4 linked regions of the Alligator mississippiensis genome follow. The protein of the gene in region 1 purifies or fractionates together with the protein of each later gene. This does not show direct contact. Links are inferred from orthologs where the notes say so. Each region holds a gene or a part of one and is shown on either strand. Other genes may lie near its edges. The genes, in order: LRRK2, RPL23, EMD and DNAJA1.

The links.
Region 2: the proteins of LRRK2 (region 1) and RPL23 purify together in Homo sapiens (affinity purification with mass spectrometry; 3 studies listed by BioGRID and IntAct, with this or other methods). This does not show direct contact. The link is inferred for Alligator mississippiensis from reciprocal best matches to the Homo sapiens genes LRRK2 and RPL23.
Region 3: the proteins of LRRK2 (region 1) and EMD purify together in Homo sapiens (co-immunoprecipitation; 3 studies listed by IntAct). This does not show direct contact. The link is inferred for Alligator mississippiensis from reciprocal best matches to the Homo sapiens genes LRRK2 and EMD.
Region 4: the proteins of LRRK2 (region 1) and DNAJA1 purify together in Homo sapiens (co-immunoprecipitation; 4 studies listed by BioGRID and IntAct, with this or other methods). This does not show direct contact. The link is inferred for Alligator mississippiensis from reciprocal best matches to the Homo sapiens genes LRRK2 and DNAJA1.

The regions. Positions count from the first base shown.
Region 1 is NC_081827.1:28,643,994-28,651,975, reverse strand, and holds the start of LRRK2 (leucine-rich repeat serine/threonine-protein kinase 2), read left to right. Parts: upstream 1-4,976; 5' UTR 4,977-5,027; coding exon 5,028-5,160; intron 5,161-5,246; coding exon 5,247-5,332; intron 5,333-7,982. UniProt on the Homo sapiens protein: Serine/threonine-protein kinase which phosphorylates a broad range of proteins involved in multiple processes such as neuronal plasticity, innate immunity, autophagy, and vesicle trafficking.
Region 2 is NC_081827.1:166,214,736-166,222,550, reverse strand, and holds the start of RPL23 (large ribosomal subunit protein uL14), read right to left. Parts: upstream 3,003-7,815; 5' UTR 2,912-3,002; coding exon 2,899-2,911; intron 1,924-2,898; coding exon 1,840-1,923; intron 1,439-1,839; exon of another isoform or gene 1,308-1,438; intron 1,245-1,307; coding exon 1,116-1,244; intron 558-1,115; exon of another isoform or gene 424-557; intron 1-423.
Region 3 is NC_081831.1:28,896,677-28,904,366, forward strand, and holds EMD (emerin), read left to right. Parts: upstream 1-4,683; 5' UTR 4,684-4,782; coding exon 4,783-4,864; intron 4,865-4,973; coding exon 4,974-5,057; intron 5,058-5,134; coding exon 5,135-5,215; intron 5,216-5,325; coding exon 5,326-5,412; intron 5,413-5,499; coding exon 5,500-5,570; intron 5,571-6,127; coding exon 6,128-6,177; intron 6,178-6,249; coding exon 6,250-6,481; coding exon of another isoform or gene 6,482-6,522; 3' UTR 6,523-7,377; downstream 7,378-7,690. Other genes in the region: SYP (synaptophysin), read left to right, coding at 209-330, 1,279-1,477, 2,265-2,456, 3,299-3,559. UniProt on the Homo sapiens protein: Stabilizes and promotes the formation of a nuclear actin cortical network. Stimulates actin polymerization in vitro by binding and stabilizing the pointed end of growing filaments. Inhibits beta-catenin activity by preventing its accumulation in the nucleus.
Region 4 is NC_081826.1:152,767,880-152,775,203, reverse strand, and holds the start of DNAJA1 (dnaJ homolog subfamily A member 1), read left to right. Parts: upstream 1-4,318; 5' UTR 4,319-4,363; intron 4,364-4,516; 5' UTR 4,517-4,529; coding exon 4,530-4,661; intron 4,662-5,061; coding exon 5,062-5,239; intron 5,240-6,943; coding exon 6,944-7,048; intron 7,049-7,251; coding exon 7,252-7,324.

The sequences.
Region 1 (7,982 bases):
CTTATCGTGTCCTATGCCTCGCAGATGACACCTGAGTTGTGCTATGTATGGTCCGGCTTGAGACTGGGCCCAACTCGGCACACTGTTAGAGCTCATACTGCCCTGTTCTGGGCCTTACACATACCACTTCCCTCTCACTGAGGCCTCTACCACTCTGCCCGCTCTCACTGGGCCTCTTGCACCCTTGCTCCTCACTGAGCCACATGCACCCTGCCCTGCTCCCTGAAGTGGCTCCCGTAGGCCATTAGGCTTGTTTCTACACTCCTTGGCCAGCCAGCGTGCAGCCTTTTGGGCCTCTCTCATGACCCACACCTGAACAGTGGCCAGGCAATTCAACAAACACTGTGCTGACTTTACCCCTAGCCCATCACTTGGTAACTCAACCCACAGGTTCCACAATTGGAGCCAATTACTCACCCCTACTACTCATGGCTCCCTCCGAGTCAGCTCACTTGGCGCCAGGCTCACTTGCGGCCTCACACGCCCAAAAGCTTACCTGGGCCTCACCACTCACCCCCATCTCCCTGGGGCCTCATCACCCCCCACAGGCTCAGGTACCACCCCCATGGGCATGCCTGGCACTACTCCTCTTACTGGGCTCAGATGCCTCCAGTTGGGCATGCCTGACCCCACTACTCTCCACAGTCTTCCACCCCTACGGGCTCAGGTGCCACTCCCATCGGTATGCCTGGCTCTGCTCCCCTCTGATCTTAATAACCCACTAAAATAGGGGGGGCTGGGGTTTTAAGGCGCCCCTCCTCGCCTTTCACCAGAAAGGTAACTGGACTGGCATTCCTGGGGGACTCCCCAGCGGAGTGCAGTTTTCAGTCATACCTGTCGGGAATCAGAGCAGCCGGCCAGCAGCTGCCTTCTGACCCCCCCCACCGAAGCAGTAAAACTTTTACCTGACAGGCGGGTAGTGATGGATGGGGTGAAATTAACCAGGCACAGATGCGTGTTGGTTATAGGAGATTGTTTACTTACGTCGCCCAGATAGTGACGTGCGATGCAGGCTTAGCCTTTGTTCTGCTACAGTTGCATCGATTACAGTCAAACGTACGGGTTACAGCCAAGCAATGATGGACGTGGCGCCGAAAACGTGCTATCGTGCCTGCAGGGCTTTGATACGTCAAGATTTACGATGACGGGGAGTATTGACAGCTGATCAGACCATCAATCTACTCTGGTGATGGACTCAGGTCTCTCCTCAGAGGTTTCTCCGGGGTTCTCCATCTGGGCGGAAGTTGCTAAACTATTTATAGACAGAGGTGTCTGACGGAGATACCCAATGATGAACCGTTATGTGAAATCTTTAATTTTCTGGCAAGCAGCAGTTCTTTGTGCTCTCAGGTTGCTATCAGGTTACAAGGTAGTGGGTTAGGTTTTCTTCCTGTTACATATGAGGTTATGATGAGGGACTTACGCTTGTTTCTTGACCAATTGCAGGGATTTATGGCAGGGCTATACCCTTTCACCATGACCAGTTTCGTTTCTTGTTTGTGACATGGGCATAAATTATATACAGCTCTCTGCCAGGATTTTGTTTCAGGAGCAAGGATTTCTTTTTTAACCCTTAGTTGGCTACTTGAATGGTATCTCTTGCTAGTGGCATGGGCACTGATTAACTGGGTTGTGACAATACCCAGGACCAGGAGCCTCCTGCCATCCCCAATAGCTCCTGACCTTAACTCCAAGATGCTCCATGAGCAGCAGCATACCTGGGTGTTGTTGCTCCCTTGGCTGCTGGCAGAAAACTGCTGCTCTCAGCCCTGAGAGCCAGGATCTTAAAATGGCCGCCTCACCAGGGCTGGCCTACACTTGTCTGCTGCCTGCTCTCCTCAGACACCAAAGGTGCTCTGCCACCTATGTTCCCCCTTAAAATGGTTCCGGGGATGGGGGCTTTCCCTGCTGCTCACAAAGTAGGCTCACTCAGAGCCTGCAACAGCCCTTAAGTGGTGAGCATCCTGTTGGTGCTCCCCCCCACAAGTATATTACTGTGACACTGAGCATCACACAATAAATAATAAATATTAGCATAATCTCATAAAACATCACATGACAATAAATTGAAGGTCAACTACGTGATAGAGTGAAGCAGTGAAGTTGAGGTATCTATGTTTGTTGCTTGAGGGTAGTCAGGAGCCTCTGACTGAAGTGGATCTATTTTTATTCAACTGACTTTGTCATTACAGGTGCTTGCACTAGTCCAAATGAAAAGGCACTCAACTAGTTTCTAAAAATGAATCGCTGTTCCATGCTTAAATTACCCCAGGTCAATGTTTTGTCTTCTAGAACTTTGAAGGGAGATAAGATCATTCATCATGGCCAAATGTAGTCATAGTCTATGGTCTATAATTAAGAAATAGTACAAAAGTTTCTTTGAATGAGACTTAAGGTTGAGACAGTACCAGCACTACAACAAAAGCTGACAGCCCTGAGATTGGCTAGCTACTAAGTATTTGCAATAACCAGAGATCCAAATGCAGTTCAGAATGCTTGTCACTCAAAATAACCAACCTTTTTAATAAAGGAGACTTCCCTGAACTGATTGCCCAAGAGCCAAGCATTAAGAAAAAAATCAAGTTAGCTTCAAAACAGCCAAATATTTCCAGCTTTTGTTGTTATTGTTCAAAATGGCTAAAACATTAAAAACCAGAGATAAGCTTGGTGAAGTTATTCATTTCCTCCCTCTTTATTTAGCACAGTTCTGTGGGAACTAGTGTTCATTTGATGACAACTTACGAATTTAACTTCTAGCAATTTAGTGACAGCTGCCGGCAATTTAACTTTTCACCTTGCAAGAGCAGCGAAAAGTGCCAAAAATAAGGCAGTTAGAGGTTAAAAAAAGTTAGACAGTATATATAATGTTTAGCTTTTCTACTATTAGTTTTGCTCCATGTTTCCTTAAAATAGTTTGCTAATCATGGCAAAAATATTCCCATTTCTTATTCTTGCAAGCCATGCTTTAGGAATGATTTGATGTTTATTGGCAGCTGTTATAACTACTATGAAAACATGTCAGGTTGTGTGTTTGAAATTTATTAAATCAATGTGATTAAAATATTGTAATTTTAATTTTCTTAAAGGTGTTTACATAGGCACAAAGAAAGTGCACTGATTTATAACCAGATACCTACATTAAGGCTAGAAAATTTGCTTTGATTGCTTTTTGAGTTGGCCTACCATAAAAGGTTATCAATATTTTCTTTACTGAATTGACCATTTGTTTTGTGAAATTGAGTTTCTATAACTAGATATAATCAAGTGGAAGCGATTTTTCTTCTATGCAAAAGCTCTACAACCCCAGTCTGGGAAACCAGATCACAGACTTAGCTCTCCAAAAGACATGTCAGCAAGATGAAGGAGCACATCACTCTCCATCTCTTCCAAACACCCTTACTTAGTAAGCTTGGCTCTATTCACCCTTTTTACCACCTCAGTGATAAACCCCATGAGGCCCTCCAAGTCATGTTAGTTGGAGAATATCACCACGTGGTCCCCAACAGCCACACTGGGAGGTAAACAGGTCACAGCCCAGCTTGCTCCACCTTCAAAGGGGGTTGTCAGGTTGGCTGCATAGATCTCAGGTTTGCTTTCTTACCCAGCCCCCACTTAAGAACTGCTGTACTAGCTTAGGCTAAGGATCAACTTCGGTATCCCATACTTTGACAGTGGCAAATAATGGTTGCTTTCGAGAAACTAAAAGAAACAGGAAATTTGTAGAGTTCTATCCAGTATCATACCATTTTGGTGAGCAGCAGGTTAATGCTGTTTTGACTTTGAATGTTATAGACAATAGTCCCCTATAAACCTGTCCTCCATAAAGTACCACCTAACCCACTCAATATTACTGGCTTGAACATCCCAGGACAATGAATTTCACAAAAGTATTTTTGTTTTAGGCGACTCCTAGCATTGGATGTGGGTTAAGAAATAAAGCTGTGTAGAAGGATATTTTCACTGGTCAGGGACAAAGAGCAGAAGTGGTTGGGGAGGATCACTTTCAATTCTTCCCCCCACTTTAGGGAAGAGGGAAGGGGTTGTACTCTCATTATTTTATTCCGTCCCTGTAGTTCTCCCCCTTCTGTTATAAGCCACCCTAAGACTGTATGAAAAGGTGTTACACGTACACAAGGCTTGCTAGATTCAAGACCTAGTTCCACCAATTCTTTTTTTCATTCCATGGATTTTTCTAGATGGCGGTTTTCCCAAGCTGAAACCTTTCAGCCTTTTCAGCTTCTCCTTATTTGGAGGCCATTCTGCAGGCCTGACTGATCTTTCGTGCCCCTGCTCTTTTCCTTCGGCACTTTTCCTTCGCTACTTCCAGCATAGGAAAGTTCAGTGCGGACTTTCTAGGGACACAACAGTGTCTCTGCTTCATTCCCTTTCCTAGCAGCACTTCATATCCTGTTCGTCTGGTCAGCTGGACACTCACAGCAGCAGCCCTGACCTTGGAGACCCACCGATGACCCCCAATCCCCCTCTGGGGACGGGAACCCGCAATTCAGCCCCATCCCTGCGCGCAGCCGGGGCTGTGGGGTTGCTCAACGCAGTTTCATCTGCTCTTTCGTGGGCTTGTAACTCTTTCTGGAACCCTCTGCCTGGGTCTGCCGCAGCTGCGACTCGCTCCTCCCCTCCTCATGGCGAAGGCCCAGGCCCCCTCCCTACTCGACAGGCTGCGGGGCCCCGCACCGCCTCACGCCAGGGCTGGGAGGGCGACACAGCGCCCCGCACGCTCCCCCTCGCTCAGTGCTCTGAGAAGCGGACGGGAAGACGGGCGGGTGAGGAGACCCCACCCCCACGACGCCGACCCCCTCTGCCCAGCTCATAATAACAGCCGCTCGCCGCGGCGCCCTCCCTTATAAGGACGGGGGTGGGCCCGCAGTACCAGCGCCGCCACCCGATTGGACAGCACGGCTGTCAGTGGCACCGCCTCCGGGGGAGGAGCCGCGGCAGCGCCGCCTACAGGCGTCCTGGGGCAGCGCCGGCCCCGCCCGGGCGGGACAGATGCGGGGCGGCGCGGGGCCATGGCCGAGCCGCGGGACGAGGCGGCCCTCGCCAAGCTGCTCGTGAGGCTGCGGCACGTGCGGGACGGGCAGCGCCTGGACACGCTCGTGCAGACGCTGCGCGACCTGCTGGCGCTGGCGGCGCTGCCCGACGGTGAGACCGCCCCCCCGCCCTCTCCTCCCGTCCCCTGTCCCCCCCAGCCGGGCCGCGGCTGTAACGCGTCTCCTCTCCCCGCGCAGCCCCCGCGCTCTTCCGCGGCCGCGCCGCCCACGTGCCGCTGCTGGTGGTGCTGGACTCCTACGTAAGCGCCGCCGAGCTGCAGCAGGTAGGTGACCCCGGCCCGCGGGGGCGCGGCTCGGCTTCCCCTGGCGCGCAGCTCAGCGCTGCGTGGCCCGGGCTGGGAGCGGGGGGGACCGCGGGGAAACGCCGATGGGCTTTTGCGGCGTAACTCGGAAAGCGAGCTGGGTCTGAGCAGGGCGTCCCATCCCGTCCCGTCCCCCGCTCCCGTTCCCCTCTCATATGCAGCCTTCACATTTAAGGTCTAGGACAGCGGCTCCCAAAGCCTGACAGATGGCACCCCACTAGTTTAAAACGATACGGCCTTTACCAGTACCACCAGCAACTTTTTGTCCTATCGAGTCATTATAATACGTCTGTTAACATGTACTGCTGACAGGTGGTCTAGTACCTGTACCGCAGATTGGGAACCACTGGTGTAGGCAGTTCTGATTCGGACATCCCCACCTTCAATAGCTACCCACCCTCTTCCTCCAAAAGTTTGTCCCGGCCCTTTTTGCATCTAGGTAAATGGGCAACTGTCGGTGGCAGTGAGCGCCACACTTCAATGACTCGCTGCAGAAAAAAGAACTTCCCTTTTTTAGTTTTAAACTGACTACTTGGTAGTTCTGTTTTATGACCCCTAGTTCTTGTATTGTGAGAGTGAATGATAAATCCCTGTCTACTTTCTTTTTGCTGTTCAATATTTTGTAAACCCTTATCGTGTCCGCCCCCCCCCCCCCCCGCCTCTCTTTTCTAAATTGAATAGGCCTGAATAGCTTTCAGTTTTTCCAAACTGAATAGGCTAGTGCTGGTGGGAGCAGTCAGTCTTCTCAGCAGTCAAATAATTTGATGCTTTACCTTTAGCGGATGGTTACAGATGATACAATGTTTGGACGGGTGCTTTGCATTTAGAAAGGAAGTGGCATCATTAGAACCTTCTTGGTGTCTTTTAAAATGTCAGGTTGTTGACTTAAATTGTAAATAGCTGATCTAAGTAATGGGGAAAGAACAAGTGAGAATTTGCAATGTTAAAAAATTTTGATTAAAGCAGCAGTTGGGAACCTATACCCTGGGAGCTGGATCCAGCCCACAGAGCCGTTGGATCCAGCCCATGGAGCTGGATGGGGCTTTGGAAACAAGGGGCTTCTCCTGAGCCACCGATGGGCAGCAGGGAGAAGTGCTGGCAGTAGCCAGGTATTAATTCCAGCTTGCCTTGGACCCAAGATGGATCACTCCAGCCTGCTGCCCAAAACCTTTGCCAACCACTGGATTAAAGCATGAATTTGTGTCTTTGCTTCATTCTATGACGTGTAGTTATTACAATAATAATAATTCCAACTGCTGCTTTAGTTTGAGAACCTCTAAGCATTTTGCAAATAGGAAACATTTAAGAAATTAAGTAATTAAGAAATTAAGTAATTAAGAAAGATATGGGGATTCATCTTCAATCCATGTTAAGAGTTGAACAGTGATTTAATAATACTTAGCCAGGTTGCACGAAAATTTAGAACAGGAAGGGAAAAATATCACATCCTACTGAAACCACAGAGGGAGTTTTCAGAACAAAATGGGGAAGAAAGTAGTTACTTGAGAATTTGGCCAGGTAAATAAATCCATTATTCTTATCTCCGTACTTAATGTAACCTTTAGTTTCAACTTCAGTTTTGAGTATCTTAGCTTTTATGAGTCCACATTAGATTTTTAGGGAGCCTCCAAACAAGTGTTCACATGTGTTTCGCCAGGGCCAAATAGTGGTGCATAGGAGTGCTATTAGTATGTGTCCCTGGGGAACACCTGTGCATGCGTGCTGTGGCACATGGCAAGTTGCCCCATGTCGGGAAGGGGAGGCTGGGATCAGCACACCTACCCTGTCCTCAGCAGCCTTACCTAGGTCCAGGGGTCCCGGGGCTCCAGCAGTGGTGATCCGAGCACACGGAGCCTGACTAGAAACTGAAGAATGGCTCCGGTAAGCTAGGCTCTGGTTTTGGGTGGCACATGCTGCCACCATGTGTGCCACCCCACTCTTTTTTTTGGCATGGGTTTTTAAATTAGCAGTGCAGCGAATATCTGCACGTGCAGTGCATTTGGTTTGTGGCACCACTGACGGGTCTGTGGTGCTGCAAATCCCGTGTGCACTCGTCTGGATGCACTCTTAGGGTGCCTTAGTTTTATTTTAAGTGGTGAATCCTCAGCCAGTGTGGAACTCATATCTTTAAAATGCTGTAATTTCACTTTCCCCACTTACTATTTTCATAATATTTTAGAAGTATAATGCACTGATGTATTCGGTGCTCTTTGCTATGTCTGATATGAGTCAAGCCCAATAACTGCGACATTTGAGGCTGAGTTTACTGCTGCAGTGGTACACTGTAGTCCTGGATTTTGAAGCAGTCTGCCTACATTACTTTCCAGTTGTCTGGACAAGTAAATGGATCAGTAGCTCTTCTGGTTTTGTGGCACTGAAATGAATGACCTGCATTTTTACCTTTGAGTAAGGGCTGCATTTGAGGTGATGAATATATTTCCTCCTGGTTCAGCTGGTCACAAAATAACTTGCTGTGTTGTTGTCCATCAAGTGTGCAAAGTAGAAGTCTCCTTGTCTCCTCCTTTCAGATTAATAATGTGGGCACCAATACAAGTTGGACTGTGCAAGAAGTCCTCTTCTTCCACTCTGTAAGAAGTGGAAAACTTTTAGA
Region 2 (7,815 bases), about 140 Mb from region 1:
TGAATCCAGAACAGCCTAGACTCCTCTAGGCTCTCAATGCAATATCCTTTGCTGGTACTACAACATGCATTTAAAGCAGGTTTTCATCCCGAACAGTTTTATACAGATACACTGATTACAAGCCCTTGCTATTTAGTTTTAGAGCAGCTAAGTACACATCAGAGGAGCAGGCTTTCTTTCTCTGTGCAACGCAGAGGGAAGCATGCAGCTTAAAATGTATTTTTCAAAACAAACTAGCTCAAAGCAACGTTACCTTTGAATCTACATGAGCACTTTACTATCCTCATATTTTAACCCAGCAGTCTAGAGAGCCTCTAAGGCAAAATCAGCTCCATTACCAAATGCAAGGTCTCAGCATAGTATTCAACAAGAAAACCTAGCATGCTACTATTTACCAAGGACATCTGAAATGGGAACCATCAAGACTGTCGCACCACTGATTGAAGTTAACAGCACATGCTGCTGCCACTTCACCCAAGAGCGATGCCTTTGCTATACCCTTCCACGACAACTCCGAGCCACTGAGCACAGACCCAGCAAGTGCTTTTCAGAAGGGGGAGATGCTGTTGGGCGCCTAGTTCCCATCTCTCTTAAAGAGTATGCTCTGCTCCTCCTGTAAGAACTGGCTTTCTATCCTATACATGAAGGTCAGTCTACAACGCACCAAGAGGATCAATGTCAGGAGGCCTGATGAGATGAAGCGCTGACATGAATCCTGGTTGTGTTTCGGGCACCAGCTGTAGTGTTATGATCTCTGCAGTTACAATTTTACAACATGCAAAACTGTATTTTATAATCACTGAGCATTCATTTTTGCTGGTGTAACACAACAAAGTTGTGTCCATACCATATTGTCGACCTTACCTAAAAAGTGTTCTCACTGGTACCTTCTAGGCACCTGGACAATAAAGTACCCTTCCATGGTTGGAGCAGACAGGCAGAGCAATGTGGAACAATGCTTTCTGGGATATCCTACGGCTCAGAGGCAGGATTTTCCACTCTGTGCAGACAACCTATGCCTAGAACTACCCACACTATCAACTCACTACCAATTCTATTAGAATGCCCTTGTATACACCAGACAAACTCACAACCTGTTCCCTGACAAGACTCACCCTTCTTCCTGAGCTCAGGCTTGCCCTTCTTGACTGTAGCCATAACCATGTCGCCTACACCAGCAGCTGGCAGTCTGTTCAGACGTCCCTTAATCCCTTTCACAGAGATAATGTAGAGGTTCTTGGCACCTACAGAGGAAATAAAAAGAAACCCTTTGCATTAGCCAACCCACTACAGAAAAGCCTGGAGACTTTTGTCACACCACTGATTGAAGTTAACAGCACAGGCTGCCACTTCACCCAAAAGCGGTGTCTTTCTATTCCCTTCCACGACAACTCCCTGAGCCACTGAACAAAGACCCAGCAAGTGCTTTAAGAAGGGAGATGCAACTGCTTCAGAGACAGGATAGAAATTCTTGGCCTTGTTAATGAGCAGCAAATTGAATATTGGCTGAAGCAGGTTAAGGGGTTCACAGTATTCAAGGGCAGATGGACCCATTCTAATCATCAAATCAGATTTTTTGGATAATTAGATGAGAAAAAAAATCACACCTGTAGTTTCATTTTTGAGCTCGAACATCTTTTAGAAATCAATCCAAGCTTACTTTAAAGACTATGTGGAGAATCCACTATAAGATCTTCCAAGGGCTAATCACCTTAAGACTTGCACCTTGTTTCCAGAAATATTTCTGACTTCTGATTAAGAAACCAGTGGTCAGAAACTGATCTTAACAAAAAGAAATGATGCCCAATGGGGAGAGAAGTGCTGGATGAACTGCCTCACCTGTATTATCTGCACAGTTAATCACAGCTCCCACAGGGAGACCCAGGGAGATGCGGAACTTCGCACCAGACGAACCACCACGTCCTGCAGGTTAAAAACAGAGGACAAAACATGACCGGGGACCAGAATACTCACACTGTCACTCACACTCACTTTATGCATTAGTCACAAGCCAAATTCTCATCTCAGTAGATATTTCTCAAAAGTCTGTAACGTGACATTTGCTCCACAGACCTAGAACTTTTATAGCAGTTATTTTCTTTTGCTTCAAAGACTCTCGCACACCCAAACAGAAGTCAAAAGATTATTAATAAGTCAGATCATAATAATATTAACCTAAAGATACAATTGCTGTTGCTCAAATTAAGAGCTGTAAGAGCTAAACAAAATACAACTATTATTTAAAGAGAACAGCAATAAATACCGGTATTAATCTTGATTAGATTCCTCCACCGAGAACGATGCCATTTTAATGTGTCTGGGCACTATGCACACAACTAAAACTGAAGCAGGCTTCTAACTTTCATGGGTCCACCTCTAAGACCCTATCACCACTCTTACTTACAAAGCAGCAGCGTTTCTCCTCTGCCCTTCTCAGCATCTCGGTGCAGAACAAGCATTTCCACTCCAGGCCCAGGACAGCTTGACTTGGACAATGCTCAACCCGGAGGACACATCCACATGGGCTCCATGACTCCCCCTTTCAAGCCTAGGGCCTCAATTCGAGGACACCCCCTGCAGTCTTCACAGCCCCCCACCCCCAACACCACTGCTCACTAATTCCTCCCTGCCGGACACGCAGCCAAAACCCAGGGGCTTCACAGTCTTAAGTGCCTGCCTGCCGACCCCTCCCCTGCACACGGGACCCCCCGCCCAGTCCCGTGCCCCGTAGGGCGTCCCCCCGCTCCCTGCCCGCACCAGACACAGCCCCGCAGGGAGCCCGGGCTCCCCCCGCCCCATCCCCGCGGGTGGCGAGGCCGCCCCGCCCGCGCGGCCGGAGGATGGCGACGGATTGCACCGCCGCTCACCCCGGCCGGGGCCGGCCGCGCCAGGCCTCACCTCGCTTAGACATGTTGGTTCCGGAGAAAGAGAGAAGGCGGCGCAAAGGACGACGGGATATTCATTCATGACGCGGACGTTGCGTGAGGTCGGAGAGGGGAGGGGCGAGCTCCCTTGTCAGGTGACGAGGGAATGGCTCTACCTCCGAAGGGCAGCTCGCGCCCCCTGTAGGGCAGCCGGGGGCACTACAGCCCAGGCTCGCGGCCGGGTTCTGCGTGGACCCAGCCCGACCTCAGCTCTGCAGCATTTGTGGGCTAGCGGGGTTGAGTGGGGCGTGTATTTTAGTACAGTTTCTAGCCCTGGAGTTTTAACCATTGTACCTGGGCTACTACCTTTGGGCGTGCACACATGCTAAACTGGCTTAAAATAAGGTGACTTAACTAAGTCAACTTAAACCAGGTCAGAGCATAACATGCACATCTTGACTCGGTGACATCCATTTTGTGAGCTAGGTTGATATATACTCCTGTTTTGGAAGTGGGGGGTGCTTTAATTACAGCTCTAATGTGCCTCAAGCCCCACATGTGTCAGCATCCCCATGCTGGAAAATAGCAGCAGGGGCGTTTTAATTAAAGCTTGTTGAATGAGCTTTAATTAAAGTGCCCCAGCTGCCATTTTTCAGCGCAGGGATGCTGATACATGTGATGCTGAAGTCTGCTGGAATGTGGTAATTACCACGCTCCAGCAGACTTGATTGATCGAGTCTGCGCTGATGCACTGCAGTTGCAGTGTATTGGAGCAGCCTCGATGAACATGTATAGGTGCCCCAAGGTAATACACCTCAGAGGTGTATCATCTTGCCCCGCATTTAAGTCAACTCTGAGCCATGTACATGTGACTTTAAAAAAAACCTCAGCTTAACTGTCAGAAAGTACATGTGTACACACCCTTTGCTCAGTTTTATGCCTTATAAAATAACCCCTGGATACAATGCAGAGGAATCAATTTAGAAAGAGGATCCCTCCCACCCATTAAACTGCAATCATGCAACGCTGCCTGTGTGATACCTGGCTTTCCTTTCCAAACAACCGCAGTCACCCTATTTGCTTTAAGGTTTTAACTTGATGCTGAGGAAATCATGAGGAAAGGCGTAGTCTTCTTGCAGTGTGTAAGGAGGCAATTGCATGCGACTGAGGCATGCTTTTAAAAGTTCTGAAAGAAAACAGGTAATCTTGTGGGAGATGGAAAATGATCACAGGAAAAATGCCAGAAGTGCAGGAGCATGAAAAAAGAGGACGAGGTTCAATAAAAACTCTGTTAGGTTTCTGCAGAGTGGAAACATCAATTATCCAGAAAAAAAGAGAGGATGTTTCAAGACTTGCAGAGATTTCTGTATTGCAGGAGCTGTGCAAAATCTGACCCCAAATAAGGCCTTTCTGAATGCCTTTCTGGTGGTGGTTAGAATTCAGAAATAGATATAGTTTTAAACATGACCTCCCTTCTTCCAACCCTTTCTCCTTCCAATCAGATTGAATTAAAACACTCTGGGCATGTTAATATTATATGATATTATATTATATTAATATGCTGCAATAAACTCTGGCACTTATCACGCTAGAGTTTATTACATCTACATATGTGCCCAGGACGGGAGTACACTGAGCAAGGTTGGAGCATCCCTGACTGTCAGGGGGCCTGCCAGCTTGGGGTGTTCTGGCCTGGCTCAATGTACTGCAGGGGGGCTGGCTGGGGCACAATGGTGCTCCAGTGTGGGGCTGGCCAGCAGGCACCCCCCTACTCAAGCACCCTTGTGCCCCAGCCAGCTGGTCAGCATCTACATGAGTGCTCCTGCATAGTAAAAAAACTCTGCAGCAGGATAGTACTTGTATTTACAAGGCCCTGCTGTGGAGTTTATTAGTTTATGCTAGCCTAATAGCCCTACATCTGTAGACACTGAGACTGTTTACTCTGGAGCTAATTAGTCTACTTCTAAGTAAGTTTGGTGTAGATGCACCCTCAGTTAATAATGAGGCTGAAGTTGGCTCCTTATTTAAAAAAAGGAGCTAGGAACCAATTTCAGCCTCATCTATAAAGAGCAGCTCCTAGACTTTAAAGTAGGGGTGGGCAATTATTTGGGCTGGAGGACCACTTAAGAGTGTTGGTGAGCTGGCTGGCACACCAGCTTTTGAACCTGTAACCTCTCTGAGCTGTAATGAAGCAGTCAATCCTGAACTAACTACAGCACCTGGCAGAAGCAGGTCTATAACCACAAAGCTTTATTGCAGGCTTTTAAAATTTAGCTAAAGCAAACAGGATGGAGTCAGCATTTTTGAGTTTGAATAAAGGGATGACTACAACTGCCTGGGTTTGTCATAAATGCTGGGTATTTATAAAAATCCTTCCTATTCATTTAGCAAACATTATTTCTAGAAGAATAAAAACGAGGGGGCACCCGGATTTGAACCGGGGACCTCTTGATCTGCAGTCAAATGCTCTACCACTGAGCTATACCCCCTTGTGGCAATAAGTCTGTGCTAAATCTTATACTTGTTCACTAGCTACATGGATTGTTCAGCTCTTTAGGAAATATTAGTTGTTTTGGGTATTGATTCTTTTTCCCTATGTGGAAAAAACTGTAAATTGTGTACAGATTACCTTTGAAAAACAAACCAGGAACTAGTAACTAGGAACCAACTTCAGCCTCATCAATGTCTCGCGGTTTCAAATTGCACTGCAGCATCCTTTATTTCACAGATTTCATAGACATTTGGGCTGGAAGGGACCCCGGAGGATCATCGAGTCCAGCCCCCTTCCCCAGGGACAGGAAGTCAGCAGGGATCATAGGATCCCAGCAAGATAAACATCCAAGTGTGTCTTGAAGGCGTTCAAAGTGGGTGCTTGAACCACCTCTGGCAGCAGTTTATTCCAAACCTTGGGGGCTCAGACAGTAAAAAAGTTCTTCCTTATATCCAGCCTGAAACAGTTGTGGAGCAGTTTATGACCATTCAATCTTGTCATCCCTTGGGGCGCTCTGGTGAATAGTCATCCCCCCAGATCCTGGTGAATACCCCTGATAAACTTATAGGTGGCCACAAGATCACCCTGAGCCTGCACTTTTCCAGCCTGAAGAGTCCTTTAGAACAGGGGTGATTAATTATTTGGGTTGGAGGGCCACTTAAGGAGTTTTGGGGAGCTATTGCAGGGCAGGTGTGGGGGAGTGCTGGCTCGGCCTGGGATGGGGGGGAGCGTAGGGGTGGGAATGGATCCTAACTGGCCCCAGTCCATCTGGCCCACACCCACTGCTGGGGGTGCTGGATGGAGCAGGCAGGTGGGGTCTCCATGGAGACCAGCCTGGGACCCCTGCCAGCTGGATGAGATAGGGACATGGGTGGGTGGGGAGCAGAGTCCAAGAGCTGGATGGGTAGGCCAGGGTGCCTGGGCAGCAGCGGTGACACTGGTAGCAGACCTGTCACTGCCAGGACTGCTGGGAAGCTGAGTCTGGCAGCCACACCATCCCAGCCCCACTGCACGCCCCAGGGACAGCAGGACTGGCTGCTCAGTGCTTGCACCACAGGCTGGGCTGCACCCCTGTCTGGGCCAGGCAGGGCTGAGAGACCTGCTGCAGGCTATATAAAATCCATTGGCAGGCCAAATCTGGCCTACAGGCCATATTTTGCCCACCCCTACTTTAAATGCTGCTGCAAGTGCATGGGAACAGTGGTCATCCCCAGTTCCCTCTCCCTTTCAGCATCCACTCTCTGCCTCTCTGTAACACAGGCTTATTTGATATGTTATGGGGTCATGGGCTTTGGCCCATCATGGACAACTGTAAGATTCCCTTATAAGACAGTCTACTGGAGACACATCAATTGATTACTTGGGACAACTAAAAAGAAAACAGGAATGAGACAATCACAGGTTAATTACAAGAGATTCAGAAGGGATCCAAGCAGAGCACGCTGGCCAGCACCCACCGCCCCCTGAATGGAGGAAGCAGGAAGCCTGTGGACACGACCAGTGAAACTCTATCCAGAGACATAAGTGGAGGAATGACAGGAAGACAGCCGCACACTCACCTGGGTTGCCCTGGCCCGAATCTCCTTCCTGGTCTTATAGAGGGCCAGCTTGGCCAGAGCCAGGAGGAGGTTGACCAGGAAGTCCCAGCACTTGGTGGCACAGTGGACGGGAAGTACATAACAAAAAAGATGCAGGGAGAAATACAGCCAGAACTTCAGCAAGAGGTCCTGGAGAAGGCAAAAGAGAAGCTGCAGCCTGGCACACTCCAGGTAGGCATGTACCAGGGTCTCCCTCAGTTGGCAGAAGGGTGTCAGGGGTGTCCACAAAATGTGCCAGATATGTGCCCATGGCAACAGCTCCATGGAGGAGCCAATGGCTTGTGGGATACAGACTTGTCCACTGGGGACCCTCATCCCTGCTCTCATCTAGGGTGTCCTGCCATTTGTCCCCCAGAGAGGAATGCAAGGACAGGAGGATGGATTGTGCAGATCATGAGCTTGTAGAGCTGGCAGCAATGGGTTGTTCAGAGGTAGACTGGCTTGGTATCCCCCAAGCCTGCTAGGTTGGTGGAAATGATAATTGTTATGTTCATAAAATAGCTCTTGCAATTCTACTTTTCTGGATGAGGAACATGATACACAGATTGCTGAAGGCTAGCTTTGTTGCAACATGGCAAGCAGAATTTAGGACACAATTTCCTGTACACTAACCTATTGCGCTTTGCCAGCCTCCCACATCAGGCTTTGAATCTATTAGCTCTGAGAGCTATAATCAAGCTTGGATACTGAACTAGATACCTGGCAGAAGCATGTCTATAACCTAATGCTTTGTCGCAGAGTTGAAGTTTAGTTAAAGCAAGCAGGATGGAGTCAGCATTTTTGCATTTGAATAATGGAACAGCTAGAAGGGTCTGGATTTTTCCAGGCTGGGTGTTTATGAAATGCTGGGTATTTAAGAAAG
Region 3 (7,690 bases), on another chromosome or scaffold:
TCCCTGGGAAGGGAGAGGGGGCTAGGCACCCAAATGGCTGGGATCTCTGGCAGGTGAGTGGGGTGAGGGGTGGGGGAGGTAAGAGCAGTGAAGACTGGGAGCCCAGATGCCTGGGTTCCCTGGGAGAGGAATGGGGCTGCGAGGTGGGGGTAGGGAACCAGACACCTAGGTTCCCTGCCTGCTGTCCCTCACCCTGTCCACCCCCCAGCTCTTCGCCATCTTCGCCTTTGGCACGTGCGGAAGCTACTCGGGGCAGCTGCGGGTGAGCGTGGAATGTACCGAAAACCGCAGTCACAGCAACCTTGATGTCCCCATCGCCTACCCCTTCAGGTCAGCTCCATGCTGGGCAGGGTGGAACTGTCCAGGGCCCACCAGCAGCATGGCATGGAATATAAGGACCAGCTAGAGATGTTACATGGGATATAAGGCTGGGGGATGGTGTTATACTGGATGAAGCCCATGTGGGGGCACTACTTGGGTATAAGGACCAGGTGGGGGCAATGCATAGGGTGTAAGGCCCAGGGGAGACCACTGTACTATATAAAGCCCTGGCAGGGGAAGTGCATGGAGTACAAGGTCTGGAGGAAGGGATTATACTGTATAAAGACTGGCAGGAGACAGTGCATGGAGTATGAAGCCTGGTTGGGGGTATTACATGGGATACCAGGATGGGAGGGAGCATTATATAGTGTATAAGGCCCAGGGAAAACTGTTAGATTGTACAAGGCCCCATGTGTGATGTAAGGATTAGGAGAGGGCATTATATGGGTTATAAGGCCCAGGGGGAGGTTACAATACTGTATAAGATCCAAGTAGGGACATTACATAGAGTATAAGGCTAGGAGAAAGCTGTTATACTGTATATGGCCATGGTGGAGGTGTGGGGGAAGGAGTGCATGGGGTATAAGGCCCAGAGGATGGCAGTATATTCTATAAGGACCAGCGGGGGCATTAAATGGAATGAGGGAGGGGGGTGTCCTTTGGTTCATACAGATACTAGCCCTAGACTCCACCTCCAGCAAACTGCAACAGGTGTCTCTGTGCCCAGCTGGTCCATACAGGCATTATAGGGCCTTTCCCTCATCCATACGGGTAGTATATGGCCTGCTCCTTGTCTATATGGGCACTTTAGGTCTTGTCCCCCCAGTCTGTATGGATGCTGTACTGCTCCTTCCAGGTGCCAAATGGGGCATATGGGCACTATAGGGCCTACCCTGGTCCATAGGGGCCATATATGGCCCTCTCCCAGTCCATACAGTTGCTATACACTCCCTGCAGGCTTCACCAGGTGTACTTTCGGGTACCGAATTGCCAGGGGGGGGAGCCAGAGAAGGTTTTCCTGGTGGGCGACTACTCATCCTCTGCTGAATTCTTCGTCACCGTTGCTGTCTTTGCCTTCCTCTATGCCCTGGGTGCCACTCTCGTCTACCTCTTCCTGCAGGACAAGTATCGCCAGGGCAACAAGGGCCCGGTTATTGTGAGTGACAAGGCTTGGGGGGCAGGAGAGGGGTGGGGCCATGGGGAAAGGGACAGAGCCGGGGACATTGGAAGTAAGGCTGCAGGAGGGGATGGAGCCAGGAGAAAGGGGTGGAGTCAGAGATGGAGGGGGTGGGGCAGTGGAACCCTGGAGGGGCCAGAGGCATTGGGGGTGCAGCTAGAGAGGGGTGGGGCTGTGGCTGGAAGGGAGGGAGTCAGGAACATTGAGGGTGGGGCATTTTGGGAGGGCAATGGGGGTAAGGGGTGAAGCCTGGGGCCTGGGCAACAGAGAAGGGGGTCATAGAGGAAAGGGTGGGGCCTCAGCATGGTGGATGGGGCCTCGAGGAGGGTCAATAGGTAGGGCAGGGCCTGGGTGTTGTTATGGGGGGGCCATGGGAGGGGTCATGGGAGAGTGAGGGATGCCTGGAATAGTTGGGGAGTTTTGGGGATTGGAATGATTGGGGTGGGGGCAGGGGCTGGAGGGGGCTCCAGAGCCTGTGGGTTTCAGTGGGGGCTGGGAGGACTGTGGAGGATTATGGGGGCTTTGGGGGATTCTGGGAGGACTGGAGTGCCTTTGGCGTGGCTGGGGTCTTATGCAGGGGCTGGAGGGCCCTAGAGGATTCTGGGTGAGGGGGGGAGTGTGCTGAAGGTAATTCTGGTGGCCTGTCAGGTTTTATAAGGGGCTGGGTGTGCCCTGAAGGATACTGGGGAATCTGCGGGGGAGGGGGGGTATGGAGGGTTGGAGGGGAAGCCATGGGCATCCCTGACCCTCCCCCTGACCCGGCCAGGACCTGGTGGTGACGGGCACCTTTGCCTTCCTGTGGCTGGTGAGCTCATGTGCCTGGGCCAAGGGCCTGGCCGATGTGAAGGCAGCGACAGAGTGGAGCCAAGTACTGGAGGGGGCCAAGACCTGCCAGCGTAAGGAAGTTGTCTGCCACCTCCTGCAGGCACCTGTAACCTCTGGCCTCAACACCTCTGTGGTAAGAGAACCCCCAGAATCAGGACTCTCAAGATTGGGTCTTCTCTGAGATGTCCACCAGGATGGGGACCCTGAGCAAAGCCACAGAATCAGGTCCTCTCAGGATTGGTCCTCTTCCCCCTCCAAATTAGGCCCCCTAGGAACAGACACCCCTTGGGAGCCCCCAGAAGTAGGACCTTCCATAGGATTGGGACCCCTGCAATGATCTTGTAAGCCCTGCAATACCCTGTGACCCCTGCCATGACCCCTCAGGTGTCCCTTGATCTCCTGGGGCCCTGCAACCCTAACTGTTGTGATGCCCTGTGATCCCTGAGGTGGTCTCTGCAGTGACCCTCTATCCCTGGGGTCCACTTTGCCCCCTGTTGGAACCTGAAAATCCCGGTGCTAGTACCCCTGATGATGCTCTTTGCCCCCTGCAGTGACCCTGATTACCCCAGTATTGACTTTTGAGTCCTGTGGTGACCTCTGTCACCTAAGGTGCCCCTTGGCATACCCCCAGCAGTACCTTCTGACTGTCAGTGCCCCTGACAACCCTAGTGGTGCTCTGACCCTCACAGTGACCCCAGTGATGCCTAACTTTTGGGGTACCCCAGCAGTGCCCCAATGACACCCCCCCATAGTCTGCTTTGAGCCCAATGGCCCTTGGGGTACTGCCAGTGGTACCCATTGACCCCTGGTGGTACCCCAGATGACCCCGGTGGTGCCATTTGACCTTCATGGTGCCCTGATGACCTGCCATGTTGCCCTTTGACTCCTGTGCTTCCTCCTGTGATGCTCAGTGGCCCATAAGGTGTCCCTGGTGCTGCCCTTTGACTCCCAGCACTGCCCTCTGACCCTTGGCAGGTGTTTGGCTTCCTGAATCTTGTGCTGTGGACAGGCAATGTGTGGTTCGTGTTCAAAGAGACAGGCTGGGGAGCACCGTTCGCCCGTGCCCCACCTGGTCCCCCTGAGAAGCAGGCAGCGCCTGAGGCCTATGGTGCCCCTGACCCCTATGGTGTTCCTGACCCCTACGGTGCTCCGGGTGGCGGCTACCAGCCAGACTACGGTGCTCCTGATGCCTATGGTGCCCCCGCTGCCCCAACAGCCTTCGCCAACCAGATGTAGCTGGTGAGTGACTCCCACTGTGGCCAGGGCCTGGGGGAGAGGGTGTGGCCATGGGGTGGGTTCAGCAGGGGCAGGGCCTGTGAGAGCAGATGTAACTAGGGGCAAGTGCACAGAGGGGCTGGGCTGGGGTGGGGTCAGGGGAAAAGGAGGTGTGGCCAGGGCAGGTTGGAGGAGGAAGGGGGATGGGACAGGGTAAAAAGGCGGGGCTACCATTGCCATCACCATGTTTCTCTCCCCAGGTCTCCAGCCCCAGCAGGGGGCGTCGAGATGTGCCGCTGCCCCCCCCCCCCCCCCCGCAGCCCTGGGGGGCCTGGGGCTGGATCGGGACCCTCACAACTGCCCCCAGGCCCCCCAACCTTCTGTACCCCCCCAGGCCTTCGGGAGTGTGGGGGCGGGGGGGAGACGCCCACACGTGGGGCACGCAGGGGAGGGATGATGGAACCCTGGCGCCCCGCACCCCCTAGCTCTCTATTTCTCCGTGTCTGTTTTGTGCCGTGACTGTGACTTTGGGTTTGTGGCCCCTCCCTCCCAATAACCCCCCACCCCAGTATCACCCCCGCAGGGGGCATGAGGTAGGGGAGATCATGACGTAATTATTAAGTTCCCCCCCCCCCCGGCTGACCCCTGGCCCCCTTGACATGTATCGACCAAAAAAGACAGGGGAAAAGGGGAGCGAGGAAAGGAATAAAAACTGTCGAATAAAGAAGAGGGGAGAAAGGATCCGAGGAGCCGCCTGCTCTGTGGGGCGCGGGCGGGCGCGGGGGTGGGGCGTGGAGGAAGCGGGCCGGGGTGAGTCGGGCGGGGGGGCGGCCGGTTGCGGGGAGCGCAACGCCAGAGCTCCTCGACCCCGCAGAGAGCCCGGGTGTCCCGACATCGCCCTAGAGTCCGGCGGTGCCCCCGACACCGCTCTGCGCACGCTTCCGTCTCTGAGCTCCCCGGCTGGGAGAGAACCCAGGTGTCCGGGCCCACCCAGCTTCACCTCCCTGCGGCGGCGCTCGGGCTGCCGTGGGGGACTCTGGGTAACGTAGTTTGGGGGTGGGGCCGCCCCGCTTCCCGTCACTTCCTAGTCGTTGCGGTTCCAGCTTGGCCCGGCCTGAGATCGAGACCCCTGCCAGCTCCGCCGCGCCCCCTGCTCCCGCCCCGTAGCCTCTCTTCCCAGCCCGCGGAGCTCCCGGAGACCCCGACGCCTGCGTTCAAGCTCCCCCACCCCTCTTCCGGGCAGCATGGAGCAGTACCAGGGCCTGACGGACAACGAGCTCATTGCCAAACTCAAGAGCTACCAGATCTCGCACGGGCCAGTCGTGGGTATGAGGGTGCGGAGCCACTGGGGTCCCGATGTGGGGCGAAGGGGGTTGCGGGTCGGGAGTGAGGGGTCGGGCTATGGGGGTTCTGACCCTCCCACCCCCTCGCCCAGGCTCCACACGGAAGCTCTACGAGAAGAAGGTTTACGAGTTGGAACGGCAGCGCACGACGCAGGGGGGCCCGGGGGAGCCGCCAGGTGAGTGACGGGTGAGGGGGGAGACGGGGAGCCCCGGCCTGGATTGATTCGCCCTTGTTCCCCTCTCCCCCCTGCAGAGCCCCTCACTACTGAGAGCTTCATGAGAGAGTTCTACAAGTACCCCGAGGACGGGGCTCGGGCCCGATACCCGGCAGAGGGTGAGCGGGGCCTGTGGGGCTCTGGCAGGGGACTGCAGGGCTGGAGTGAGCGGCACCGTTGGGGTTTTTGGGGGCTGGGGGTCAGACTAACTCCTCCCACACACCCTTAGACCCGAGTCCCTCCAGGCTCTACATCCGGGAATCCTACATGACACCAGACCACTCCGTACTCCCCAATCGTGGCTATAGGCGCGAAGGTGAGCTGGGGAGCTGGGCCTCGGGTTCCCCATTGGTGGAGGAGCTGCGGTCGCCCCAGGTCTCAGCCCCCTTGTGTGTCTCGCCAGATCTGGATACCTACCAGGGCTCCTACACAGAGGAGCCCCCTGCCCGGCTTTACAGCGACCCGCTACGGCCTGTGAGTGAGGGACACATAGGGCGGGGCCTGCGGGACTGGGGGCGGTGGGGCGGGGCCGGGCCAGGGACACACCCAGAGAACCTAGGTGTCCAGGCACGCCCAGAGCACGAGCATGCGGGCTCCCGCATGCCGGGCGCACGCGATTCAGGGACCCCCCCCTGATGCGGGAGGTACACCCCGCTGCTTGCTTGGGGAGCGGCGCCGAACACGGAACCACACCCGGTCTCTATACATCACTTCCCGTCCCGGGTCGCCGCCTCCACTGAGGAGAGACCCGCCGCCACTTCCAATGCAGGAACTCCAGGGGCTGCCCAAGATGCCCCGACCCGCCCCTTCCGGGGACGCCGGGGCCTCATTTCCAGCATTGACCCTAGCGCCCCCGGCAGCCCCCGCGTGGCAAATATGCAAGCGATCTGCGGAGATGCAAATAGAACCCGCGCGCCCCTCCCTCCGGGGCGTGGCTATGAAAATGAAGGGTTCTTCCCGGAGTGGCCTGTAGAGGGAGGCGTGGGGCGGGGCCGGCAGCGCTGTTGACTGGCCGTGGGATCTCCCCGCAGGGCAAGGAGGAGCCCGGCGCCAGCAGCCCCTGGGGGGATGCTATTGAGAGGTGAGCGTAGGTCTGGGAGGCGGGGCGGGGCGGGGCGGGGGCGGTCCCCCACTCATCGCTTTTCCCCTTCAGGGACAGCACTGCCTACCAGCGCGTGGCGCCGCGCCCCTCCATCCGACCCGGGTCCAGGGGCGGGCCGGGCGCGGGCACAGGCGTAGCGACTCCCGGCGCCCCCCGGCGCTTCCTGCCTCTGTGGCTGCAGCTGCTGGTGTTCGGGGCCGTGGCCGCTTTCCTCACTTTCGTCTACTTCGCTCTCCAGGGCGGCGCCAGCGACAACCCCTTTCCCCGCAGCCTACAGGGCTGAGGGGCCGCGGTCCACCCTGCTCCCCAACCAGAGATTCCTAGGAACCCCCCTTCCCCACAGCCAGCCCAGCCGCCCGCATCCAGGGGCCCCCAGGCACTGTTGCACAGACCTAGAGACTGCCCACACCCAGGCCCCAGCCTCTAACACCAGGGCCTCCATAACTGGCCCCACCAAAACCTCTCAGGGGTTGTCCAGGCCCACACATGCACCCAGGAACCCCTCCCTAGGACATACTGAGGATCCCTCCCCCCACAGCTGGAGCCCCCCAATACCCAAGGACTTTCTCCTACACAGATCCTGGGGAACCCTCCAAAACTTCCCATGGACCTCCCATGGGACCTCCTTACACCCTGAGACCTCCTCCGGGCACCCTGGGGACCACTCCCCTGTATTTAAGGCCCCCCATTCCCTCCTAACCCCCCCTCAAGGTGCACTCAGGGATAGCCCCACACTGCAGAGACCCCCCCATCCCCACTTCCAATGGGACACCCCAACTACCAGAATCCTGCCCAACCAGCCTGCTCCCCTGGTAGTCCAGGGACTGCCCCCATACACAGACCTGCACCCTGGATCCCTCAATTTCCCCCAGCCACCCCCCCCCCAGTGCCAATCCTGCCCCTCCACTCACTCCCAGCCCCTCCCACCCTCAGGCCCTAACAGCCACCCCCAGGTTACCCCCAGCCCTGCCCCACTCCAGCCCAGAGAACTCAGTCATCCCGGTTCCCACCCTTGCAGGTGGGGTAAGGCAACTCCTATCCCCCCCCAGTGGAGAAGTTGTTTGGGGGTTGCCTAGCAACAGCTGTCTTTCCATGAATCGGAGGTTATTTTGTGCCATGTGGGGCGGGATCCATTATTCTGGGGGCAAAAAAAATCCCAATAAAAATGTGGGTTTTTTAGTTTCATTGTCACCTCATTTCTTGTGGGGCTGGGTGGGAGTCCCGGCGCCTGGGTTTTCTGGACTGGGAGGCGGGGTAGAAGTAATGGTTGTGCCTGAGGAGGTCCCCCCAAATGTGTGTGGGGGAGGGGCGCACGCACACACACACTCGCGCTCCCTTCCGCCCCCCGTCCCCCCCCAGAAGTGAGGTCTCTCTTTTACACGCACCCCTTTCCACCGTCCTTCTCATGCTGGGGATGGCCGGACCGGAGCCCAGGTGACAAACACCGCCCCACCTGTGTATGTCCGAGATGCGCACAGACAAACGGGGAACC
Region 4 (7,324 bases), on another chromosome or scaffold:
TGATACCCAGAGGACTTGAAATACCCAGAGGAAAGTGAAGAAGTGGAAGATGACAGCTCTGTTGAGAAACCTGAGGAGGACCAGAATCTGCACAGTGTGGGCCTGTGAGAGCAGCTTGGACTGATGGGAGTGAATTGTACTGACGACTTGGAATGACCAGCAGTGGCTGGAGATGTTCTGAATGACAGGGAGACGTTCTATCGTATTGTTTCAGTGCTGGGGCCCCACCAGACAAGAGGGTTGCTAGGGCAATCATGAAACTGGCCAGCCCATCCAGCCTCCGCTACGTTGCGAACCAGCTTGGCGTGGCTGCTTGCATGGTCAGGTTGGCAACTTGTGAGGTATGCCAGCTGCTAAAGGAGATCGCTTCAAACAAAATTATCCACCTGGTGAACCCGCAGCAATTCACAGATGGGTTCAATGACAAGGGATTCCCTAACTGCATGGGGGCATTTCACATCCCAGTGCTGTGCCCTGTGGGGAGGGGGAGGGCTTTCATAAACAGGAAAGGATATGCCTCCATGATCCTGCAAGCTGTGGTGGACCACCAGGGCTGGCTCTCAAACATTTATACTGGGTGGGCTGGCAGCACGCATGATGTATGTGTGTTCAGAAACTCCCCTCTGCCTGGCCTCGTGGAGAAAGGACACTACGCACCTGGCGTGGAGGAGACAGTGATCCGTGGTGTTGCTGTTCCCCGGTTGTATTAGCAGATGCTGCCTACTCCCTAAAGCCCTGGCTCATGAAGCCTTATGGAGGGAATGTCACCAACATGCAGAAGCTGATTTTTTAACTACCACCTGAGCAGTTGCAGGATGGCCGTGCAATGTGCGTTTGGCTGACTGAAAGGACGACGGAGGGCGCTTATGTGCCAGCTCAAGATGGAGCCAGAAAATATCATGGCCTTTGTAGTGGCAGTCTGCATGCTACACAGTATCTGAGAGCCATGGAGATTTTCAAGGAGTCGCGGGAAGAAGCAGCGCAACAGGCAGTGGCCAGACAACAGAGACGTGTCCAGGCTGCAGCAGCACAGGGACTGAGGAGAAATCCTCAAGGAGAGGCTGGTTGGGTGTCCCTTGTGCATGATTGTCTGGCGGGATATATTACTGACAACAACACCTAAGAGCGCTTTGTTCTTTCTCTTGGTTATGTTAAAATAAATTGATTTGCACTTTAAATCTGTGTCTGTAGACAAGGGCGTGCGGTGTTGCGGACGGGGGGGTTAGAGGGGAGGACGGTCAGGGGAAGGGGTAGGAAATGTGGACTGGGCTAGGGGTTTGCTGCTTCCAGCCTGTAAGTGGTTTGTGGGGGGGGCATTACACACTATCACCTACATCTGAAAAAGCCCCCCCCACCATGTGGGCAAGAAGGTTAACTATAGCTTTTGGTGGGCTAGGTGGGTGGGGGACGAAGCTGAACAGCAACCCACATTTTCAAAAACATTTATAAAACATTTCATAACACACCCCCAAAAGCCATGTGACACTACACAAACAGACTGACGGTGGTACTGGGCAGGGAACTGGAAGGTTTCAATGGGAGCCCCCACTGAAAACTGCATGAAGATCAGTGAGCTCGGGATGCTGGGAAATGTAGTCCAAAAACACCAGAACAACAACAACAATAAACCACAGAAGAGCTCGCCTGCTCACTGCCACCACCAGCATCATCGACAGCAATTGCCAGTCAATTAGGCAGCAACAAACACCCACCCACCCACTACTCTGAACCCTGAACATTTGGTGGTATTATAGCAGCTATAAAGTAAATAAAAGAAAAAGCACATGTATTTGTAACATGGTGGGATGGGAAGGGAAAGGAACAGGATGGGAGGATTCACAAGGCTTATTTTTGGAATGGGGATTGTGATGGGGGTCTTTGGGGTCGCATACTGACGGAGAGAGACTAGACCGACCGACCGAGCATAGGTGGATGCAAGTAACAAGGTTTTTGGGGTGACTGTGCCCGGGGGAGACTCCCAGTGAGAGGCCAGGGGCGGGGACAGGGGAAGCAGGCTTACATGTGCCTCCTGCTGTAATACATTAGGAAAGACATTGGGGGTGGGGGTATATTGGTATTTGACCTCCCCCTACTGAATCTGCAGGCAATGACACAGGAGACTTAAGTCACTCAAAAGCGCCATGTCGTGCAAACACAAACGCACCGCACCAAAACAAAGCCGGGTTAAAATTTTCAGGTGCGCTCAACATTAATCCCTGTTTCATCTACACATGCCCCTAGACACTCATGGCCATTTTATTACATAAAGTCCTCCCACCAGAACACAGCATACAGACCCCTTAAATAAGGCTCGTGACAAGGAGCGCATTTTTTCTATTGCTCTCTCAACTGTCCCACAATCTGCCCTCCCTTTCCCTAGTCTCCCTTCATGCTCTTGCCAGCATCCTCGCCTGAAGGACAAGAAGTCCTGCCAAGGGCTGGTAGAGGAAGACAGCAGGAACAGTGGGAAAATGGAGCAGTAGGAAAGAGCTGGAGGAAAATGACAAGTATTACTGGGTTGCGACAGGTGAAGCAAGCATAGGAATGGATTTTCCCAGGGTGGAGCAAGCTGTAGAGATCTCAGTGAGAAGAGGAAAATAGAAGATGATTCAGATACACAGCAGGATAATGGGACATCCCTCAAGCACTCTGAAATGTGTGTTGAGTAAAAAAAAAAAAAGGCAGGGGGGGCAGCAGAGAATGAAAGAGATAATCAAGCTGCACGATCCAACAGGGACGGGCTTTCTAAAATTCAGTTTCTGATACTGAAGGCAAGATGAAAGCAGGAAATGGTGCTATAGGAATGTGTGCGAACTTCTACCTTCAGCCTCTCAGGCATTCTTGCTGACAGTCACAGCAATTATCGTTTGAGCATTTACTTATGCTCAGCATTGTGCAAAAGCAGAGGAAATATGGCGCCTGCCCTTCCACATCCAGATTTCTACAAGCAGAATATCTATGCTCTAGAAATGACAAGAGACCACTGATTCGCTTCACAAAGCTTACTGAACAGAAGTGAGAAATCACCTATTTCAGTCCTGTCGACCCAAAGACAGCAGGGAGGGCTAAAAAGCAGTCCAATATGCATTCAGCATATATACTTGTACCAGATGTGCTCTTGCAAGGTGCTCAACCATTTTTACTAGCTACTGAGCCTGCTTTATTTCAGCTGTCTCCACATAAGGGCACACAATCTGCTGCTGAATTGGGTATTAAGCATCTCTGTTTTGGGGTCCTACTTTGTAATAGCTAGGCTTTGGGCCTCTCCCAGCCCTCAATTCTGGAAGGCTGTTTATTTACATATATATTATCTTCTGGATGGCCCTTCTTTTAGGAAGAAAGTAAATGCTGGGAATATCAAACTACTTCAGATTACAAAGCCATAACGGCATCCAGCTAAAATAAAATGTCATAATCTACAATGTTTTATCTTTACTTGTATGCATGTCACTCACCTTAGGGCAATCGCAATCGGTTTCGCATTTCTGTTCTTATGGTGTTTGCCTACAGTGGTGAACCCCCACCGTGTTTTCCAATGGAACTAGTTTCACCTTGAACTATTCCTCCGCTCAGTGCTGGGGGGGGCTCATTTGCCATCTTTCAAACCGAGCGGGCAGGTTGTGCAACGATATAAAAGGAAGTCTGTGATTGAATTAACTGAGCCCCGGAAATCCGGCCTTTCTTTCCTCAGGAATACTTGGTGCACACAAAGGCTCCCCGGGGAGCTATGTTAGCCACCGCCCAGCAGGTGTATCTGCGGGGTTTTTCTCCCCTAACGAGGTACAAAACGTACCTCGTTACCGGTCCCGCATAAAGTCACGGCTCTGCTAATGCACGGCTGTGCAGGGCGGCATCCCAAGTTTCCTTGCATGGAGCGCTTCTACCGCCAGCCCGAGAGCGGTGGCGCCTTGAAACTTGCAACTCTGGCATTTTGCCTCATTTCTGCATCGCCCCGCCCGTGTTTCAGGTGCTTCGTTTGGAAACAAGGTTAAACCAGGAAATACATCACACAACCCGCGGCGCGGGGCGGCAAAACTCCCAGCATGCACCACACCCCCACCACCCCACTCGGCCACGGCGCCCGCTGGGAGTCGTAGTCCGCCAAGCGGCCGCAGCGCACGCTGGGGGCTGTAGCCGGGCGGCCCGAGTCGGCGGGGTGAAGCGAGGTCAGAGGCTGCCATTGGCTCCCGCTCCCGCGCTCCGCCCCCTCCCGCCCCCGGCTACCCGGCAACGAGGGGACGAAGCTTCCGGGGCGGGGCCTCCCCGGCTACAAAAGGCTCCGGATGCCGAGCCTTGTTTGGAACTTTCCAGAAAAGTCGGGAGGCCGCGGGAGCCGCCGGAGCCAGCGCCGCCAGTCAGCCAGGTAGGGCGCTGCTGCTGCCGCCCCGGGGTGGGGGTTGGGGGGCGCAGCCTTGGGGCCCACGCGGCGCTGTCGGCCCTTTGACCCCGGGGTTGCTGGGACAGGCGCGGCGCGGCGCGGGAGGTGCTGCGCGGCTGACGGAGGCGGCTCGCGCAGGTCGCCGTTCACGATGGTGAAAGAAACGACGTACTACGATGTGCTCGGCGTGAAGCCCAGCGCGTCCCAGGAGGAGCTGAAGAAGGCCTACCGCAAGCTGGCGTTGAAGTACCACCCCGACAAAAACCCCAACGAGGGCGAGAAGGTAGCGACGTGGGGGGGAGGGGAGAGGTGGGAGCCTCGCCTCGCCTCGCCTCGCCTCGCCTCGTCTCTCTTCTCTTCCCACTTTCTCTTTATGAGAGGTGCCTGCAGGGCTTCCCTGTGGGTGCTTTTGCTCGGGTCCCTGATCCAGGAATGCAGCAGAAGCACCAGGCCTCTTCCCAGCTTGGGTTTCTGGTTGTGGCTGTGCCTGAGCACAGCGGGAACGGGGGGTGGGGAAAGTTCCCCTGTAAAGGCTGGCTCGGTTGAAGTTTGTTCACCAGCTCCAAATGGGCTGCTGTTTTAAAGCTAATAATTGTTGGTGTTAAAGGGATTGGGGGGGGGGAAATGTCTGGTTTTGTCACATCTCCTTGTGGATTTAGTTAATGTGCTGGCTTCTGTTGCAGTTCAAACAGATTTCTCAAGCATATGAAGTTCTTTCTGATCCCAAGAAAAGAGACTTATATGACAAAGGAGGCGAGCAGGCCATTAAAGAGGGTGGTTCTGGCTGTAGCTTTGGGTCCCCCATGGATATATTTGACATGTTCTTTGGAGGAGGTGGAAGAATGCAAAGAGAGAGGCGAGGTATGCAACCTTTTTGTCATGTTGGGTACACTGGCAGTCGAGCATATACCGGACCCTCCCTGAATACAGTTGAGAGAGATCATACTTGCTTCTGTTAGAGTTCAAGAAAAGACAAAGATGGAGTGGCTACACTTTTTAATAACTAAATGGTGCCAATTTTCCTATGCTGGTGCTTGAAAACAAGAAAACTATCACAGTAATCTAAAGCTTATTTTCTGAATGTTTAGTGTATAATGAGTTATAATACTAACTTTGTATGAATAGTAATAGGTAGGTGTCACAAGACATCAGTGGTGTCATTGTCTAAAACTTGAGGTTTGAAGATTAAGCTAACTGTATGTGCCAAACTTTTCTAAAGAACATAAATACTCTTCTGGGTCGGAACAGGTCCGTCTAAGGCAGTGGTGCTCAACCTCCAGCTTGGGTGGTGGGGCATGTCTTGCATGGGGCTCCCTGGAGGCCTGAAAATCTTGTGGGGAGGTAGGGGAAACATTAATTGCTGCTGCTCTGGATTAAGTTACAGCACTTTAATACAGCCACAGCTGCCATACTTCCAACTTCTAGTCTTAAACCTGTGGAGTGCCCTGCAGGTCGGGTGACATGCCCCCATGCACTAGATCTAGTGTGTGGGGCTGGGCTGGCATAACTGCAGCCTGACCCTCCTTTGGATCTAGCCTAGGGACTGATTCCATGCATCGGATCCAGCTGGCAGGACTAGAATATAGAGTACCACTGACCTAGGATGGTATCCTTGTTTTGTAGCAGAGTAGCAAGAAAAAACTTATGTAGGGCCTCTTGGACTGATCTGTCTCCCTTCCCTCTTCCCTTAGAGCTTCCAGTATTTAGAGGTTTGGAAGTTATAGTTTGAGGTGGTTATTTCATCGTATTTATAATGCACTAAATTGTCTAGTTCTTAATTTAGCCTAAGCTTTTTTAAGTGATTTAACAGATTAATGTTATTTAACTAGAACACATCTTTATATAATTCTTCCTTACGGGGGGTGGGTGGGGGGGTGTGTGTGTGTGTGTGTGTGTGTGTGTGTGTGTGCGCGCGCGCACATGCACCAAGGTGTGACTAGTACAAAAAACAGTACAGCCATAGACTCCAAATTTCATGTTACATGAAGTAAGAAGTTGCTGCTTTTTCTCCACCATGTTGAATGGTGGGGGGAAATGTTAGCATAGGACCATTATCTTTTATTGTTAGTACTTTAATAGTGCTATGTTATGAGTCCTATGCTTGCTTGCTTTTTTATGTATTCTAATATAATAAAAGCCTTAGTCTGTCTGTAATGCTGTATCTGCACTCTTGACTGGCTGCTGAGACAACCAATCACAATACTGAGGGAAACAACCAATCAGAGTGCTCCAAGAGTGTTCCAGACAGGAGGCAGTGCATGGCAGAGTGCTGCCATGATGGCAGAGTGCTGCCATGATGGCAGAGATGGAGCCTTGCTCCCTGGAGGCAGCATGGGATGGTGGAGCAAGCTCCCTCCCTCCCCTCCTATCCCCCACCCTGCCTGCTTTGTCCCTATACCCTGTCATTCCTGATGGGCAGTTGGCTTGTGTTAAAGTATTTTCCTTTAGTAAATGTGCTATGTTCTGAAGAATTGGGTCTTAGTTGATTTCAGTTGAGAAATAAGAGAACAAAATCTGATTAGCATGGAATTACAAAGTCTGGAATAATGAGTGTGTTTTTTACAGGTAAAAATGTTGTTCATCAGTTGTCAGTAAGTTTAGAGGACTTGTACAATGGGGCAACAAGAAAACTGGCTCTGCAAAAGAATGTGATTTGTGACAAATGTGAAGGTAAGTTTTCTGTACTACAGTCTAGAACTCCAGGGAACTTGTTAACTGAATTCCACTAACTCATTTTTTGTTTATCTTTACAAAAAATTATGTTCAGGTGAAAACAGTTGTTTTCAATAAACTAAATAAGTGTACTTTTGATATGTTTTATTTGGAGTTCATTTCAGTTGTCAAATCCTTTCATTCTGCTGTCTTGTTATCAGGTCGAGGTGGTAAGAAAGGTGCAGTGGAATGCTGTCCCAACTGCAGAGGTACAGGCATGCAAATAAGAATTCA